Linked DNA regions of Mus musculus: all the other regions are reported to be linked to region 1. The links are microRNA targets in miRTarBase. Many come from high-throughput screens and were not tested one by one. Region 1 holds a microRNA gene; each other region holds the end of a gene's coding sequence. Distances are between the middles of the regions.
The links. The annotated mature microRNA mmu-miR-374b-5p reads AUAUAAUACAACCUGCUAAGUG and lies in region 1 at 1,644-1,665, opposite strand. An mRNA with a match to its seed (bases 2 to 7 or 8) in the 3' UTR can be bound and repressed. Matches are read on the target gene's strand: a 7mer-m8 pairs with bases 2 to 8, a 7mer-A1 pairs with bases 2 to 7 and ends in A, and an 8mer does both.

Region 2: the mRNA of Ppp6r1 is a reported target of mmu-miR-374b-5p. Seed matches in the 3' UTR shown: 7mer-m8 at 3,003-3,009 and 7mer-m8 at 2,996-3,002.
Region 3: the mRNA of A130010J15Rik is a reported target of mmu-miR-374b-5p. Seed matches in the 3' UTR shown: 7mer-m8 at 2,943-2,949.
Region 4: miRTarBase lists Frmpd4 as a target of mmu-miR-374b-5p. Seed matches in the 3' UTR shown: 7mer-m8 at 883-889 and 8mer at 2,847-2,854.
Region 5: the mRNA of Pou4f2 is a reported target of mmu-miR-374b-5p. Seed matches in the 3' UTR shown: 7mer-m8 at 2,016-2,022.

Annotation. Positions count from the first base shown.
Region 1 is chrX:103,571,469-103,575,407 of GRCm38, forward strand. Mir374b (microRNA 374b) reads right to left here and starts at 1,686; the gene lies at 1,592-1,686. The region is part of intron 9 of Ftx (Ftx transcript, Xist regulator (non-protein coding)); the gene reads right to left. It overlaps Mir421 (microRNA 421), which reads right to left and starts at 1,528; the gene lies at 1,453-1,528. It overlaps Mir374c (microRNA 374c), which reads left to right and starts at 1,617; the gene lies at 1,617-1,665.
Region 2 is chr7:4,628,962-4,632,900 of GRCm38, forward strand. It overlaps Ppp6r1 (protein phosphatase 6, regulatory subunit 1), which reads right to left. Exons shown (of 24, transcript NM_172894.2): 22 at 3,528-3,638; 23 at 3,380-3,436; 24 at 2,534-3,283. The coding sequence ends at 3,280. Tmem86b (transmembrane protein 86B) reads right to left here and starts at 1,521. Exons shown (of 3, transcript NM_023440.3): 1 at 1,261-1,521; 2 at 595-841. The coding sequence starts at 1,311.
Region 3 is chr1:193,174,105-193,178,043 of GRCm38, forward strand. It overlaps A130010J15Rik (RIKEN cDNA A130010J15 gene), which reads left to right. Exons shown (of 2, transcript NM_181048.3): 2 at 141-3,728. The coding sequence starts at 238. The coding sequence ends at 1,029. It overlaps Traf3ip3 (TRAF3 interacting protein 3), which reads right to left. Exons shown (of 16, transcript NM_153137.4): 16 at 1,400-1,655. The coding sequence ends at 1,563. Among named protein-coding and RNA genes, the nearest start is that of A130010J15Rik, 2.5 kb to the left of the region's middle.
Region 4 is chrX:167,470,733-167,474,671 of GRCm38, reverse strand. Frmpd4 (FERM and PDZ domain containing 4) reads left to right here. Exons shown (of 17, transcript NM_001368936.1): 17 at 1-3,365. The coding sequence ends at 699. Among named protein-coding and RNA genes, the nearest start is that of Prps2, 90 kb to the right of the region's middle.
Region 5 is chr8:78,432,150-78,435,149 of GRCm38, forward strand. It overlaps Pou4f2 (POU domain, class 4, transcription factor 2), which reads right to left. Exons shown (of 2, transcript NM_138944.3): 2 at 860-3,000. The coding sequence ends at 2,588. Among named protein-coding and RNA genes, the nearest start is that of Pou4f2, 3.0 kb to the right of the region's middle.

The DNA.
Region 1 (3,939 bases):
TAAGGCTAACCACTTGGTGTATGAGGTTCTGTGTGGCTGTGGTTACCTCGGACAGTATTTTCCATTTTTCTCCCTTGTCTAAGCCCCAGGGGCAAATATAAAGCAGGCCAGATTTCTAAAGGACCAGTCATGAAAACAATGATTATTAAATCAGCGTTGAAGTTCAGACACCAGGGTCCTTTCCTCAGGAGCTGGGTCAGTAAAAAGTCGTTTGAGGACGAACTGTGCAGTCCAGCCAGGCTCTGTCAGTTCCCTAGACTCTCTTGTGTGGTTTACCTTCTAAAAACTCAATTCCATCTCTCTATCATCCCAAACAGCGAATGGAAATTCTACATGAGTTGGATGTTTCGTGATACTAGAATGGTTTCTATCTGTGGTGGTGTAACATGCTAATCTTCATCCCTCTATAGTTTATCTTAAAAGATGAATTAGAGAACAGTGCAACTTTCTAATGAACATGTGCCCATGTCTATAATCCTAACAATTGTGAGGCAGCAGCAGGATTGCTACAAGATTGGGGTCTCCTTGATCTTTGTAGGTAGTTACTAGACAGCCAGGACTACCTAGCAAGAAACAAAGAAGGAAAACCACAAATCTCGTGCTTCTTAGAGTCCATGCCAAACCTCAAATCCTTTCACGACCACTCCAAGTTGTCTTCTTCATATGTCTGCCTGCTCCAGTGAAGAGATGGATCCTTTCATAGAAAGCTATTCTAGCAGGGTGTACATTCTGCCCTCTGTGGTGCTTTGAAGGAACACCGTGGCCCTACCTCATGTATTTGAACACTCATATCCCAGGTGGTGGCTACATTTGGGAATGTAATGGGACCTTTCAGAAGGAGAACCTTGCTTGAGGTGTGTCACTAGGGGCAAGACTGGGGTTTTCTACCCTGGTTCCACTTCCTGTTCTCACTTAGCTTACCACACTGAGGCCATGCCTGCTCTGTTACTATATCCTTCTGGAGCTATGAGCAGCAATAAAATTATAAATGGAGGTATGGGGAAAGCGGGTAAAGGAAAATGAATACCAACCATAACAGCACACCCCAGATTTTAAAGACGAAGCTCCTACTCAGTGATCACTGTAGTCCAACCTAGGGAGTAATCGGTAGCGATTATAGTAACAACAACAGAGATGCAACAATGACAAGCAGGCATTTCCAAAACACAGGCATAAATACAGTATTTCATAGAAAATATCACATTTATGGTACATGAGCTATTATCCCTTCCTTCCACACCCTCAGGATAGAAAAGAACCAGATATGGAATCCTTTTTATAAAACACAGTCGAGGCACAATTATCAATCAATTGGAATTGGTTTGAAAGGTAAAATATATCCACTATGATTATACTACACAGAACACAGGAATGAGCTGCAGAAATAAGGACGCTGCGGAGAGCTTGAACGTTGAAGGCCACTGGCAGGAACAAGCTGAGCCCATGGAGATCACAGAGCAGGCGCCCAATTAATGTCTGTTGATGATTCATTTTTTCATTCAACAAACATTTAATGAGGCCTACAATGTGCACCGGATTAGGCACTGTGAGTACAAAGTCACCATCCTTGCCCTTACGGATTAGTTTGATAGACGAGAGCCATAACCTCGGACAATGATAATACAACCTGCTAAGTGCTAGAACACTTAGCAGGTTGTATTATATCCACCCGAGTAGGATTTCTTCAGAGGAACACCACTCCAGGTTGCTGCGCGATCCATGAAGTTCTCCTGATCACCAAGGCCAGCTGTTGTTTCTTGCTCTCCAGGGATGACAGTCACAAGAACTAACATAGCTAGTTATCAGTTAGAATTCGGCTTCAGGTCAACTGTGACCATTCCCCAAACATCCTTTTCTGTGTTTATACAAAAACCTTTATTCAGCTATAACACAAGTTTTCAAAAGCTTTTAACTTAGAACAAAGAAGAAAGGCAATAGATTACTAATCAAGAGCATGAATGGAAGAATCATCGAGTTTCCTACATGGGCTAACTTCACATTAGTGAATCATTAAAAACGTCCATGATCCCTCCCCACAACACCATTGACCATTCAAAAGGTATAATAATAATTAACTTTCTTCTTTTAATTCTTGCATTGCCCGCTCCATCATTAACAGCAACAATAACTAAGATAGCATTGAGTGGACGCAATTAACAAACAGGCCAGCTAATGCCTATGCCCAAACCCTAGAGTCACTGTTTGCATGCACACTTCAGAGCTTCCTTTCCCAAATCTGAACCATTTACTTAAGTAAAATTGTCCTCATTATAAATGCATTATTTGAATAGTAAAGATCAATACGATAGGTCTGAGTAGAAAACATGTTCATAGATTTTGTTGTTTGTTTCAGTCAGGGACTTGTTATGAAACCCAGACTGGACTCAAAGTCAAGATGGTCTTCCTGTATAAGGACCCGAAATGCTGGGATTCTAGGCATGTGCCAACATGCCTTGCTTTATAATGCTTTGAGATCAGAAACCCTAGAGTGGATATTACACATATCTGATGCTTCAAAGTAAAGCAATGAACATTTCAAGTCTCTAAACACTTCAAAAGAAAAATAAAGTTCAGGAGAAAGCCTGCCAGTGACAAGAGACTATTCAGATGAGAATGATGGGGCACCGCTGCTATCTCCGTGTCTTACTGAGGATTGGCAGTTCCTAGATACGGCTCTTCTATGGAGAAGAAACTAAATGTATATCTAAGGAATGAGAGGATGGCAGCTATCCATGACAAAAAATTCCTTCCCTGTAAAACTCTCCTCCATATATCCTACCCCAAACCTCTTAGCGAGTAACTAGTCAGCCTGTAAGGTTTAATCTATATACCTGAATATCTCTCATCTTTGGGACTAATTCAATATCCTGACTACTGAGAGAACTGAATAATAATAATAATAAATGATTTGAACTGTGGACAAACATTTAGATCAACATGAAAAAGTGATCTGAGAGGGAAACAGACTCTTAAAAAACCCCTTGTAGCCCCGACAAAAGTTACTCATGAGTTAAAAGACATTTGTTGGCAGCATTATCAATAAATAATCTTAGCCTGGGGTTTAAGATTATAGGGTAATAAGCACCTTGAAATTGAAGACCCTTAAGGTGTATCTATATTCATAGTTAGAAGTTTAAAATGGACAGACAATCTGGTATAAATCGTCATGTCTCTGAGCCAAGTAGGAAGATGAACAGCAGCTCCAGTGTCTTGAGCCCAATTCTCATCCATACTCAACTAAACACAACCTTGCAGTATAACCCATTTTCTGGCAGTCCCTTAGACAAGGAGCAGAAAATACCTTTAAACGAATTCAAGGCCAATAAGGATGTCTGGATACAAATTTCTCCAACAATATGTTACTGAAAACTTAAGCCTTCAGAACCACTGATTAAAGTTTGCATAAAAGCTACATTACCTAACATAGTAAGAGACTATCAATCTTTCTTTCATTCCTTGTTTACCCTGTTGAGACAGGGTTGCTCGATGTAGCCCTGGCTGTTCAGGAACTGGCTTTGTAGACAAGGCTGGCCTTGGATCATTTCAAGGTAGACAAAGGGAATGTATCCTTGATGTGATTTTCCCATTTACAGATTATGTTTATAAAATACTGTTTGTAATTTTCATTGTCAGCTATTCCAAAAACAAAATGTAGAAGTGAATAATATTGCCTGTTTTTTTTGTGCTAGAGATTAAGCCCTTTGTAACACACATGTTGGGGACATGCTCTACCATGAGCAGGCAACAGGAACATCCTCCAAAATGCTCTATCCCACATACCCAGAGTTCCTGCGCTTGTTTTCTACATATATATTAGATATGCAAGGGTAGACTATAGTCTTCCTGGTGCACAGAATTTTTATGATTGTGCTTAGGTGTTAGATAATTGCCTTTAAAACCTCACTGGAATGCATCAGAAGGCTGTTGTGGTGATCATTA
Region 2 (3,939 bases), not on the chromosome of region 1:
GATAACCTTAAGATGCATGGCATCATGTGCTTGCTCTGCTCAAGTACCTGTCTTTCCAAATCGTGTTCTGGGAAGCCCCATACCCTTGTTTTCCCCATCCTACTCTAGCCAAACTGGCCCATTTGGACAAAGTAACTCATACACTATTACCCCAGGTCCTTTCCACATGCACTTTCCATGCCCAGGATGGCCACACTTCCCATCTACACAGCTACATATCCTTATTCCTGTAATCCTAGCCCTTGAGAAAACTAAGGCAGGAGGATCCAACATTTGAGGCCATTCAGACCAGCCCTCATATATAGACATCTCAAAAATGACTCCTTACCTCCCCCACCCACCTCAGTCATGCTACACCTTAATTTTCTCCACACCACCCCTTCCAACCAGGTAATCCCACATCTTCCAACCAGTCTGACTCCAAGCCCCTGGCTGAACTGTGAGCTATGCTGTCACCCATCACTGCCTTCTGGCACCTCTGGATAACCCAGAGGACCTAGGGAGGGAGGGCTCCATATAATGAAAAGCTGTGTCCCAGTACTGACTCAACTCCACAAGAACCCTAGGTGTGTTGTCATAGAAGCCCCTGCTCACCATAAAAGAAAGCTTCAGGCCAGATGAGGCAGGCATCTCCCACAGCAGAACATACAAGAGCTCCCTGCAGGAGCCAGGTGCTGCTCCCACCAGGGGCCACAGCCCACAGGAACACAACCAGGCAGAGAATGGGCTGGCACTTGATCAGGGCACTGACCCAAGATGGCTGGTCCACAGGAATCCAGAGGAGGAAGTAAAGGGAGCAGGCAAGGATGAAGGGGGCCAGCCACCTGCGGACCTGTGGGTACTTCAAGAGAGCGAAGCTTCTCAGCCTCCCTCCCATTCGCAGCCAGTCCTGGGGGAGGGGTCACTGCAAGGCACTGTAGGAAATGTCTAATTCCAGTACTTAGCAGGTGGAAACGGGAGGCTGTTGATTTCAAAACCTGTCTAGGATACCCAGTGAGAACCTATTTTAACGGCCATCCCCCACACCACCCTCATGCCAGGACCCAAGCATGTCCAGGTTGGACTTTCGGGACTAGGATCTTTAGCCACCTTGAGAACCTTTTCATTCCTATCTCCTGCAAGGACAAAACCACGATACCTTAGAACCCAGCCTCCTGGAAGGACAGGGCATCCCCACCAACTCACCAAGCATAGAGAATCACAGGCCCCAGTACTGCCCATGTTCCCAGACCTGCCCATCCCCACCTTACAGGTTCTCACTTGGTCTGAAAAGAGTGTCTCCAGGGGCAGCCCCTCTTTTCTAGCATCCATGCTGAGTTGCTTCTCTTTAGGAGCCAGTGGCTTCAGAGGGCAGAGGGAAGTCTTGTGGTTACACATTAACCCAAGTGTCCTGTGGACTCTGGGGCTGATAACAGGGCTCACGCAAGGCCTGCTCTTGTCTGGCACTTGCTGATAAGGTACCCATCAGGCACCAAGGGCCACCCCCCAGCACTTAGAAACCTGGCCACCACCTCCAAAAGTGAGCCCCCTCCCCCAAAGTGGAACTCCCATTGTCTCACACCCAGCCAATTATAAGGAACAATGCAAAGTTCCACAGAGGGGTAGCCCTACAACCAACCCTGGAAAACAGGGGTCCTGCCACAAACACTGGTTAAATAAATCCTGCATTGTGCCTGAAGTCATTCAAACATTCCCTGGAAGGAAGGACGACCACACCACTGTACACTCATGTTCTGCAGCCTTCCCATGAACAAGATAGGGACCTACTGGATGCCAAGAAACTACTAGGTTCCTCAACCATCCCCCTTAGGGATGCTTCATTGTATGTCCATTCTCAAGGGAGCTTCCTGTCTCCTAATCTCTCCCACACCTTTGGTTTTTTGTTTTTGGTTTTTTAGATTTATTTATTTATTATATGTAAGTACACTGTCGCTGTCCTCAGACACTCCAGAAGAGGGAGTCAGATCTCGTTACGAATGGTTGTGAGCCACCATGTGGTTGCTGGGATTTGAACTCCTGACCTTTGGAAGAGCAGTCGGGTGCTCTTACCCACTGAGCCATCTCACCAGCCCCCACACCTTTGTTTTTGAGACAGGGTTTCTCTGCCCAGCCCTGGCTGTCCTGGAACTCAGTTTGTAGACATGGCTGGGCTTGAACTCACACAGATCCACCTGCCTCTGCCTCTGCCACCACCACATGCCTGGTGCCTCCTATCCCCGTAATGGCAGGACGCTCAGCTCCAAAGTCCAGGGACCTCTTGCTCCTTTTAGCAGGCCTGTTAGAGGATAGAGCTGAGTCAGCACAGCCCTAACTGATCTGCATTTTGGAACAGGGCCACGGAGGTACACATATCAGGATGAGAGCGCCCCAGAGTGCTAACTCCTGATGTTCTGCCTGATGTCTAAGTATTCCCCATCCCCTACACCCACACACACTCTCACAAGTGTGGTCCTAAGAGAATGTAGCTCTCTAGGCTATGAAGAGCAAGTTCACCCAACTCTGAGTCCCAGAACTCACAGTCCCACAGCAGGAATGTTCTGCTATCTTCCTTTATTTATATCTGCAGTATGAAACACAAGCTCTGCACACATACTTGCACACTCACACCAGCCTTGGGGGGGGCAGGGGGAGCTGGGACAAGGCCACTTGGCAGCAGTGCTGGAACCCTCAGGGCATGGGGTACCCAGCAACCCCCATTCTGGGCCTCTAGGGATGTTCCCCAGGGCCAGGGGCCGGATGACACCCTCTGTTACACCCCAAGGTGGTCCTGAGTGAAGCTGGGTAAGAGCATCTGCACCAGAGCACAGGCCAGCGGCCTCCAACCCCAGCGCCAGCCCCTACTGGGACAGACGGGGAAGGTGTGCTTCAGAGCTGCTGGCCCAGTTATTGTCCTGGCTTTCTTTCTTACTCCTCCCTCAACATATATATGTATATGTATATATATATATATATATATATATATATATATATATATATATATATATATATATATATATATAATATATAATATACTTCTCTCTCTCTCTCGCTCTCTCTCTCTCTTTCCTTTCTATGTGACTCTCTATCTTTATTCTTGGAGACAAAACTCCATAGTTTCTCTTCTCAGTGCAAATGGGGGTGGGTGAGGGCATCTCCCTGGCACCAGCCTCCTTGGGAGTCCAGAGGAGAGAATGTAGGGTGTGGGACAATAGAGTAGAGGGCCACCAAAGGACTCATCCTGCCCCACAGAGGGATTCCACAGGGAGGACAGAGGATTTGGCCACCACTGTCACCAGGCAGCTACCTGGAAACAGAGAGAAACACATGTGTCACATGGACCATGGACATGGGTCCAGTGACCTCATCTTGCTGACCCACCCAAGGCTATTGCCACACTCACTGGGAACCCGATGAAATAGGCCCTCCTGGGGTAGAGCCATTGGGCATCTCAAGGGCACTGTTAGGGGAGAAAAGGAAACATGGAGGTTACTTCTTGCCCTATTAGCCCTGCTTCATCCACCCAACACCACCCAGAGAGACTAACTCACCTCTGGCTTTGGGGAAGCCCCAAATGTTCTGGGCTCCTTTTCCCCTCCATGGTCTGAGGAGACTGGTGGGCCTTGAAGTCTGGGACAGAGGTAGAGGGGTCTCTGGTTGCACTGTAAGAGAGATCAATTTGAATACTGTTAGATATTCCATATCACTGCCTGCCTGAGGCCACGGCTGGGTAACAAAGAAATCTCAGAACAAAAAAGCCTATGAGCATACTGATGGCAGAGCATAGTGGGGCTGCAGAGCCACAGGGGGAAACCAGAACTTATACCCAGCTCCTCTCAGTGGTCATCCCCCTGCAGGATACGCTTCTGGGGCTATGCACAGTCCTGCTTCTCGTGGTCCCTGATCCTCTTGGAAGCTGTTCTTAACTCTGGGATCACAAGAGCCCTTTTAGGTGCCATTGTC
Region 3 (3,939 bases), not on the chromosome of region 1:
TTAGAATCGAAGCCAGAGACAATGTAAATGTGACTAGAAGGACGATTTCGTAAACTTAAGTCTGCCAGAGAAATGGGGTGCAGCATTGGTGACCCCATCTTGACAGTATTAACGATTTCCCCCTACCATATTGTTTCTAGGATCTTTCTCAAGTGCTGGGAGCTGAACTGTGTGTGGCCCAGGGAAAGGAACTGTGGCTAGCTAAGGAGGCCATATGTCATGTAACTTCCAGATCTTATGTCAACACCAAGCCCTCAGCTGCTGGTGGCAGCTGCTCAGCAGACTCTGGGCATGGGCAAGAGAAAATGCCCACCTCGAGCTACCTGCCTTCACCTGGCAGGAGAGGTGCTGGCTGTGGCCCGCGGGCTGAAGCCAGCTGTACTCTATGATTGCAACTCTGCAGGAGTATTGGCGCTCCAAAGTTATCTGGAGGAACTACAGGGGCTGGGCTTCCTGGAGCCAGGACTTCACATTCTTGAGATTGGAGAGAATAACTTTATTGTCAGTCCTGAGTATGCCTGTCAGCATTTGGAACAGACACTGCTTGGTACTGTAGCTTTCGTGGACGTTTCCCGCTCCCAACCTCATCCTTCTGTCCGGTCGGTGGACCAGCTCCCGGACTTGAAATCTCTCATAGCTGACGTCATCACACGTTTTCGAGGACTTAAGAAAGATGTGTCTCAGGGAGTCTCCTACACCAGGCTACATTCCTCAGACTGGAATCTCTGCACTGTATTTGGGATACTCCTGGGATATCCAGTCTCTTACACATTTGACCTGAACCGTGAAGATGACAACTGCTTAACCATGACTCCCCTGCGGGTGTTTACTGCCCGGATTTCGTGGCTGCCTGGTCAACCATCAATTCTGCTGTACTCCTTTAGTGTTCCAGAGAGTTTGTTCCCAGCCCTGAAAAACTTTCTAAGTGCCTGGGAGAAGGAACTCAGAACCCGATTTAGGGCTCAGAATGCCTTTGCTGACCTCAGCATCTCCTCTGAGGTGGTCACACTTCCTGCTGTGGCCCTCTGAGTTAACTCTGTCCGTTGAGAAGGTATCAATGAATGTCAATTACGATGAATGTTGTGCAGTCAATTGAACACGTGTGAATGGGGAGAGTCGTTGGCAGCAGTAGTATGATTTCAGTCTTTATATTAGGAGTTCCTAGGTCCTTAGCCGAGGTGTCTGTTTATTTTTCATTGAATGAGAGATGGAAAAGGAGCATTGTGGAGACATGAGTGTACCCTGGGATGGTGGCCTTCCCTGGTGGATAGTGCCTTAGAGGGAAGGAGAATGACTAGGTAATCTATGTATGGAACTCTAACTGAAGTAGGGTGCGAGACAATGATGCTTAAGGGTTACACTTGTGGCTTATTTCTCAGGAATACACAGTTCTAAAGAGTAGTCTTGTGAGATAAAGTTTATTTACAACCTGGTGAAAAAAAAATAAAACTAAGAGTCCGGATTCATTTGGAGGGAAACCCAAGTTATAAAGTACCAGAACTCAAGGTTTTCATGGAGTTGTTTGCATCTGAGTTTTACTTCAGATAGATGCCAGAAGTTCTTCAGATGACCAGGTTGCCTTTGTTTGCCAGGAACACTGCCAGTGCTGTAGCAATCACCACCATCAGCACTGGGAGCCATTGACCACACTGCAGCTGTATGGAAGGAGGTGGAGACAGGAGAGAGCAGCTATGAATTAGCTGGAGAAAGTATGGGCAAGAATAGTCCTTTGGCATTTTAACCCAGTAGAAGACCTCACACTGGTGGCAGAAGGGGCTTTTTTTTTTTTTTTCTCTTCAGTGTCTCCCTCACTTTTTGTCATTTCCACTAGATAAAACCAGTTTACTAGTGGCCTAGAGACTCATATCTGACAGGGGACAGATATTTAAATGCTGATCTGAATGAGGTGGAAATTAACTCAGCAGAATAACACTCTTTGTACACGCCTCAATACTTTTGCAGTCCTCCTCTGCCCTTGTCATTATGTTTACAATAAATCAAAAAAGTACTCTTTCATGCTTGAACCAATACAGGCTGAATATCCTTTTTCTGAAATGCTTGGGATTAGGACTCATTCAAATTTTGTCTTTTTTTTTCCCATTAGTATTTGTTTAGTATTTGTATTAGTATTTGTAGTAGTAGTATTAGTATTTGTTTACCAGTTGAGCAGACGTAATAAAAAGACATCTGAATACCAAATGTCCTGAAATCATTTGATTCTTTTGAGCATTGTGCTTCTTTGTGCATGGTGTGCTCTGGATCTAGAACATGTCAGGTTTCCATAGCAGGAGTGCTCAATCTAGTGTCTTCCAGACTCGAGAGGTGCATAGAAATGGGGTGAATAGTGGACAGTGTTTCTTCCATGTTTGCTGTATTGTTGGCATAGTGTAAATCAAGTGGAATGGGACAGGATGACCAGATGTTGGTGTGGACTGATATATTTTATCTGTAACACTAGGCTTAAAAAAGAACTATTCAGCTGGGCAGTGGTGGCACACACCTTTAATCACAGCACTTGGGAGGCAGATGCAGGTGGATTTCTGAGTTCGAGGTCAGCTTGGTCTACAGAGTGAGTTCCAGGACAGCCAAGGCTACACAGAGAAACCCTGTCTCAAAGAAAAAAAAAAAAGAAAGAAAAAAATCCACCACCACCACCACCACCAAAAGGAACTACCCCACTGTGATGTAGGGCTGTAGAGGGGGATGGCCCTTCTTACTCTGGGAAATGGCTCCTGGCTGTGCCTCAGTGCTTCTTGACTGTGATGTAGCTTTTGCAAAAAAGAAAGGTACTTCTCATTGAGGATGTCTATTCTGAATGCAGTTCTCTGCACTGGGGAGAGCATAGCAAGGTGTCATCAGCTCATTCTCTCTCTCTCTCTCTCTCTCTCTCTCTCTCTCTCTTTCTCTCTTTCCTTCTTTTCTTTCTTTTTTAAAGATTTATTTATTATATGTATATAAGTTACACCAGAAGAGTGCATCAGATCCCATTACAGATGGTTGTGAGCCCTCATGTGGTTGCTGGGAATTGAACTCAGGACCTCTGGAAGAACAGCCAATGCTCTTCACCAGTGAGCCATCTCTCCAGCCCCCAGTTCTCTTTCCAACAGAATTCTGGAAGAGGACTGCCCTGAGTACTATACTCCTTCACTTGTTTTAAGTGAACTATTTTCTAACCCAAATTTCTCAGAGATTTTAGTCTTCTTCCTATCATATAGTTTATTGTGAGTATGTTGAGTTATAAGATTGGTTATGATGCATCTGTTACATTTTACACATAGAAACACTTTCAATTATTCTGCATTATTTATTCATTGTTAGGGTTGTGAGTGTGTGTGTATGTATGCTAATATCTTGTACATGTGTGTGTAAGTCAGAAGACAACTCTTCGAGTCACTTCTTTCCTGCCATCTCTATGGTAGGTCCCAGGGATTGAACTCAGGGCATCAGGCTTGGCAGCAGGTACCTTTACCTACTAAGCCAGCTTATTGGCCCCAGGACTTGTAAATGCTTTCATGTGACTTTGTGAAAATGCTCTGTATGTGGGCAAACTAATAAATAAACAAATAAAGAAAGAAATAAGTTCTTCAGCACTGGAGGACATGCCTCTCTTCCTTGGTGTCTAGTTGCTTCTGCACACTTCCAAGAGTGTGAGTTTGAAAGAATGTTCCTAGGAAAGTGTTTGTTATTTAAAAGATACAACATAAAATAAAGCATTCTGATACTTAGTATATGACAATATAAGCAGTTAATGTGTTTACTAAATATTTTTGTGTTCTGATTGATCTCCTAGTTGGTTACCAATGTATCCTTTAATAGGGGTTGTTATAAATTAGGAAGGAGAAAGATCGCAAGTCAATCCAAGAGCAAAGACATTTATAGAAGAAAATGAACACTTGTGGTCATCCAGTAACAATTTAAGCTTGGAAATTCCTGCTTTCC
Region 4 (3,939 bases), 64 Mb from region 1:
CTCTATCGACCACAGATAACCCAAGCCATGTCGGAACCAGGTAACTCATCCCTGGTTGTTGGACTGCAGAAGCAAGGGGAAGAACTGTCCAGAGGGACAGCTCTGAAGGTCTGGACAGAAGACCCAGATGGCCCAGATGACTTGGACTTCAGCAGTCTGGCTTTTGATGCCCGGATTGCAAGAATAAATGCCCTAAAGGCAAACACATATGGAATGCCCGATGGGTTTCTCGAAGCCCAAAATGATGCCAATGAGCTGCTCTGCCTTGTGAGGGCAACCAAGGCAAGGAAGGAGGAGTCACGCCCTGAAACATATGACCTTACACTTTCTCAGTACAAGCAACTGTTATCCATTGAGTCCAGACAGTTGGGAAGTGCCTGTAGGAAAATGGCAATGGCCGAGAAAAGCCCAGAAGAGATGCTCCTAGCTATGAGTTCCAGTTTTCAAGTGCTCTGTTGCCTAACAGAAGCTTGCATGCGGTTAGTGAAAGTCGTGAACACTGAAACACAGCGGCAAGAAATTGTAGCAAAGATTGATGAAGTGGTCATAAACTATATTTGTCTCCTGAAAGCTGCTGAGGCAGCCACTGGCAAGACCACTGGGGATCCTAATATTGGACTATCGATGCGACATTCAACCACCATGGCCGCTCTTGTAAGCACACTAACACGTTCTCTCAAGATGCTTTTAAATAAATAAATATGGAAGTCACATCATAATCTATCTTTGCAAAGCCATACATGAACTTTTCTTTACTTTCTGTGTACAATGAACAGATGTCTCCTTTCTTCTCTCTGTATATTTTGTTCTTTTATATAAAATAGGAGATAGAAGTTACATTGATGAAATGTTGAAAAGTCTCAATCAGATATATTCTGTTTATATTATACAAATATACATGTAGAAGGAATATATGAGAAAATGATGACATTTGACTATTTTTCATGTAGTCAAAACTCTAAGCATATGATATGAAATTTTAAATTCTACATTGTTAGAGGAAAACAATGAATCCTATCCCCTTTCCTTCCAAATGGATACTTGGAGACCCTATCATTCATATTTAGAAGAAAAGCCAAAAGAAACAGAATAGAAAAGAAATCAAAATGTATATAAAATAGTTCCCGTGTTTTAAAATCATAATTTTTAAACATTGGAAGTAGCAAAAATATATTTAAAATTCAAGAAGCTAATATGAATTACTAGAAAATATATAATAAATTAACTTTTTGCTCATAGTGTTTTGTTATTGGATGCTTTCTTCCAAGAATCCCCACATATTCAATTTTGGTTTATGCTATTTGGGCTACAGATTGGCAGGGGTGGGCAGATTCCATTGTGTCAGCATAAATGCTTTTTATAGTATTTCTAGACTTAAAAAGTTCCCCCAAATAAAAGAACAGGGGAAATTATGGGCAGGATCCTAGGCAATAACTAAAGGTATAGGTTGTCTAATTACATAAAATAAATGGAATTAGTAATGCCAAAATTAAATTGTTTGATGAAAAGAGAGATCTGCTTTGACTCAATGTCAAAATACATAAACCGAAGGCATTATTTCCTTCCAACTCAACCATGAAGCTTACTATTTCCTTTCAAGAACACCTAGTAAAGTGTTTGTAGAATTACACAAAAGCAGATTTAATGAGCACAAAAAGTGCAGACCCAGCAATGTAAATCAGAGCGCACCCCAGCACCTGGGAAGCACAGCTCAGCCTTCAACTCTTAGTCCTCAGCTCCATGAAGGGCTTCCTGTTGCCCCTCTCTGACAGGAGCATGGCTAGCAACAAAACGTGGAAAGACAGCCTACTACTGGGACAAAATTTCAAATCTAGAGTGTTCCAGAAAATCAAGTAGAGATGACTACTCTCATAATTGAAACCATGATTCAAAAGGTAGTATTTACCTAATGAGTACTTCATTTGGCAGATAGAAATACAAAATCTGACAGAAACATGGCAAATTTGACTATTTTAAGTGAAACTAAGGGAATACAAAGGTGTGTTCTGAACTGTCATCACTCAAATTATATCTTTGGGTCAAAACAAAAGAAGGCAAACTCTTCAATCATAAGTTAAATTGATATGTACATATGTAGTTTCTGGATCACTCTGTAGTCAAGCTCCCCAATTCCTATTTCTGTAAATGGCTTAGAATAAGAGTAGTATAGCAAGAATCAATATTTCCCATTTTGTAGCCTGCCATGCAGGAGACCTAGCAAGGTCTACAGTTGCTATTTCTCTCTGGTCAGCCATTCATTCCACAGAGACTCAGCAAATGCAACACCACAGATTTACAGATTGTAACCAATGAAAGGAGTTCAGATATACGTTGTTATAAATAATGTTTGATTAAATAATAAAACATTATTTCATTACAATTCTAAATATTTGGTGTTTTGCTGTTGAGAGACATTAGTGGTGTTTACTGTGGAAAATCTTAGCAAATATTCTGTGTACTATAATACAAACAATAATAGGATGTGTGCTCTGTGTCAGACAATGTGCTAAACATTATTATCACATGTATTATCTCATTTAATCATGTCTATGATCTCTTGGTTTGGACACTATCATTAGTTCCTTCTGGAGGCATTATGGTTTACTAGTTATGAAATGTGGGGCTTGGGATCAGAAACATCTTGATTTAAATTTTGGTCCTGCCATTCCCTAGCCCTTTCATCTTGGGAAAGCTATCTTTTCTTTTTCAGTCTTGATTTCCTTATTGTGAAATGGACTTCAATCATGAGATCTATTTCCATAGGGTTTTCACAAGTTTTAAGTAAAATTGTGTATTGTAAAGTTCTTACCACAATATCTGATGGAGAATAAGTATTCAATGTTAGATATTATAATTATCATAATTGTTGTGTTAAACATATTGCCCAAGATACTGTGTGGAGGATGTTTGTTTTCGATGCATACTGTATCCTGATTGTGTGCAGAACACATTTGTGTGTAGTGCATACTCTGAAAAGAAGCATACAGGGAAATGATGGTCTGTTTTCAAATTGCAAATCTAGCTAGAACAACTTCCTACTCCATTGTGGTTCTTTGAGAAGCCTCAGGGAAATAGCTCTGGGTCTTTCTAGCCAATCTCTAATTTCCTGTGACTACTCCAGTAAGTTTCTGTTCTCCTAAAGCAAGTCTTTACTATTCAAAAATCTCAAAAGGCCCCCTCACCTTCATTAAGCATGGGGCTCCTAACTGGAGTTCATGTCCATTAGAGTATAGGAAGAACATACTAGAATGATACTTGTGTTTATTTTTATCTAGTTTTTTTATGTTTGTGTATGTTTTATAATGGCATAATAGTACAGTGGTACATGTACATAATTTTAAATAAATAAATAAACAAATAAACAAGCATAAGCCTGGTGCATGTATGCAAATACCGTCACAGGTAGCGTTGCATTCACTAAATTTTGAAGAACATGGAACTGGCACTGAAATTTGTTTACACTTGGAGTATGTAAACTCCTATTTTCCTAAGTGTCTCTCTCCCCACTCTCATGTAGCTGTCATTATAAAAGGTACAAATGTGTACAAAAATTCATGCAGTTGTAAAAGGTGTCAACTGGTGACTCCTTGGATATCAACTCCTAATCAGTATTACTTGCTCCATTTCTACACACCTCCTCCCAACCTGTAAGATTTAGAAACTCCCTGGTACCCTGTCCCTTAATCTATGAGTATCTCATTAGGAATAAGAACTTTAAAAAATAACCACAATGCCACTTCACATATAAAAATGAGCAATTCTTCCATATCATTAAACAAACATTACAGAAATAAATGGTAATGAAAATGAAAGTCCTTTACAAGTGGAGCCTCCATAGACTTTGTCCATAATCACTGCCATCTTTCCCCCATCCGTTTCTCTTTATTTATCGCTATTTTCATTCATTTCATTCTTCTGAGTTTAACTTTGAACTCAGTT
Region 5 (3,000 bases), not on the chromosome of region 1:
TAAAAATACAAATCATAGCCTTACTAGAAAAAGAAACGTTGAAAGCCCAATACATTGCCCAACAATTGTGAAGGACCCGAAAATTATTATAATGGGAGAGGAATTGTCTTAAAGTCGGATTAGAAAAAGAAGTGGCTGTGCCAAATGGGCAGAATCCCATGGCCACATGAATGTTTAATAGACTTCCTCCAGATCCTGTGCCAGACAAAGTCACAAAAAGGGGCAAAATTTTGTTCCTTTTAACAACCCAGGATTTTCCTCAGCCACATCCTGTCTATTGCAATAATATTAATTTTCTTAAAGGTTATGGGGAATAGAAAAAGACAGAGACAGAGGGACACCAAGACAGAGACTTTATTCATCTGCCAGAACCCCAGGTTGATTTCCAGGACAGGCTAAAGAACTGAGAAGATGGGGGCTGCACTCTGCTCCTGGCTCACCAAGTCCTGCCCCCACAGTTGCCACACCCAGACTCCCACAGCTACTGAAATGTGGGCTGGGTCCCTTTCTTCCTTTGCCCCATAGGAGATGGGAAGGAGTGGCTGAAATAGTTTCCATCTGACCTTGGCTTTGTAAGATTCTCTTTACAGAATTATTTCAAGTCTGGAGAAAGGACTCCAGAGGAGCTATATGGAGCCAGACACCATGATTTCATCTAAGCTAAAAAGCAAAGCGCCCTGTGAGATGAGCCCTGGCCATTAACGTGATATTATAAATCCTCTTGTTCTTTTATCCTTTCCCAGGGAGTTGCCTCTTACAAAGTCCAAGCCGTGTTTTAATAGCGGCCACTCTCTGTGTTCCTGTCTTTTAAAAGAATCAGCACCAAAATAATTCCCACATAAATGATTAAAAACTGCATCACGTTTTAAAAGTCATTTAATATTAATAGCATATTTTAATGAAAAAAGCAGCATACTTTGCCAGTAAAACATTAAAATCATCTCTTCAATGAAAGACAATGAAACAACACTCAAAATAACTTAATACATTACTATAGTAAATAACCCATTAACAAAAACAAGAAACGAGGTCATATACAGAACTCAGAACTTTGGAGAGCCTCAAATGGATCAGCAATTACAGCAAATTCTGTAAGAATATATTCATATGTGCATCATTTTGAATGAAATATTTACAATAGATAAGGTACCAGTCACTTTGTACCTATTTGTGTGTGTGCTCCAAAAGGATTCTACCAAACACTGTGAATTTACAAGCAGTGCACTGTCTTTCTTATAGTTCCAAATTTTTCCCCCTACAAACAAACCTCCTAAAAGGAAAAAATGAAGGACCCCTATAAAGGTCAAAATGTAGCAACAAAGCAATCGAAAACTGGGAGATGGAAATACCTTGGTGAAATCTTAGAATCCAGCAGAGTAAGCACCAAGTGGAGACTGCACCTAAGGCTGGGAAAGTATACACTGCTCATCGTTGGTACCTCCAGCTGCTTCTTCTCTTCTGTTAGAGATGTGTATGTGTGTTTGTGTGTAGGCATGTAAGGTGAGTGAGAGAGCACGTGTGCCGCGGGGACAATATGGGAATCCCCATTAAATATGTAAGGAAGTAAACAAGACTTCGGACAGTGAATCTGGTCTACACGGTTAAGACATCAATTATAAAGTGTCAGCTCACAAATTAGATCACTACCAGTCAAAAACAAAGGGAAGAAACAATCTTCATTCAAAGTGAGAATATACAACTAGGCCAAAGCGAACACAGTCTAAGTGGGAAGCTGTAAAAATCCAGGACCAAAAAGAAAAAAAGAAAAATGTTTTGAGCATCACTAGCTATACGTATCCGCCGGTTTTATTTTTCAGACTAAAGAAGTTTAATTAATTAGGATGTGCACAAAATTAAGTTGCCAGAGAGATAAATTAATAATTTACAGAGGGTTGTACGGCAATAATCTAATAATAGCTGTCAAGATCAGTGAACACAGCAGGCGCAACTCCTTCCATAAGTGTTAACACTTCAGAGAAGGAAGAAAGCGATAAGAACCACAGTAAAAATATATATATAATATACAGTGTAAATGCAGAAAATCTGCCATCTTTTTTTAATTCAAAATACTTTAGAGATGTCTCTATCATATCACATTAAGCATCAACTCTAGCTTCGAGTTTCAGTCCTGAATCAATTTCTATTTCTGAAAAATAGCTGCAAAGTGTACTTTTAAACATGAACAAGGTGACGTCTGTAAGAACAAAAACAAATCTTACTTGCTCATTCTTGCAGGGTTTTCAAAAGCTTGTCCCTCTACCTTCCTGTTGACAGTCAGCTCCTCGCTTTCTCTGATGAAGCCGAGCAGCCCAGGTGCAGTTAAAGGGGACAGCTCTGCTACAACTTGACAAATTCCTTTTCGTGTTGTGTTGTTTGTGGTTTTGGTTTTTCTTCACTGCGAAACCGGTTCACAATCTCTCTGATTTGGGCTCAGCTGCTTGCTTCTTTGCTCCTGGCTTGGTCTGGGTTCACATTTACCGGAATTGTTTTCTGATAGCCAAAGTAGAAAGGAAAGAGGCAGAAGAGACAAGAAGGGGGTTAGAAAAAAAGAGGGCGAAGGGAAAGGGCCATCCCTGGAGAAGGGTCCCTAAATGCCGGCAGAGTATTTCATTCTCTTCTGTTTCTGCCTCTGGTTGCAGAACCAGACGCGCACCACATTTTTCTTGAGATCCAGCTTTTCGGCGATGGCCGCGATCTTCTCCGAGGAGGGCCTTGGCTGGATGGCGAAGTAGGCTTCCAGAGAGCGCTTCTCCGGCGCCGCGATGGACGTGCGCTTGCGCTTCTTCTCCGCGCCATTGAAGAGCTCCGGCTTAGTGAGCTTCTCGCGGTGGGATTTCTCAGCTTCCTCCAGCCACGCCTGCAGGATGGGCTTGAGCGCGATCATGTTGTTGTGTGACAGCGTGAGAGACTCAAACCTGCAGATGGTGCTCTGGCTGAGCGAGCCCACGCCCGGGATCTTGAGGTTGGCCAGCGCCGAGCCCACATCTGCCTGGGTCACTC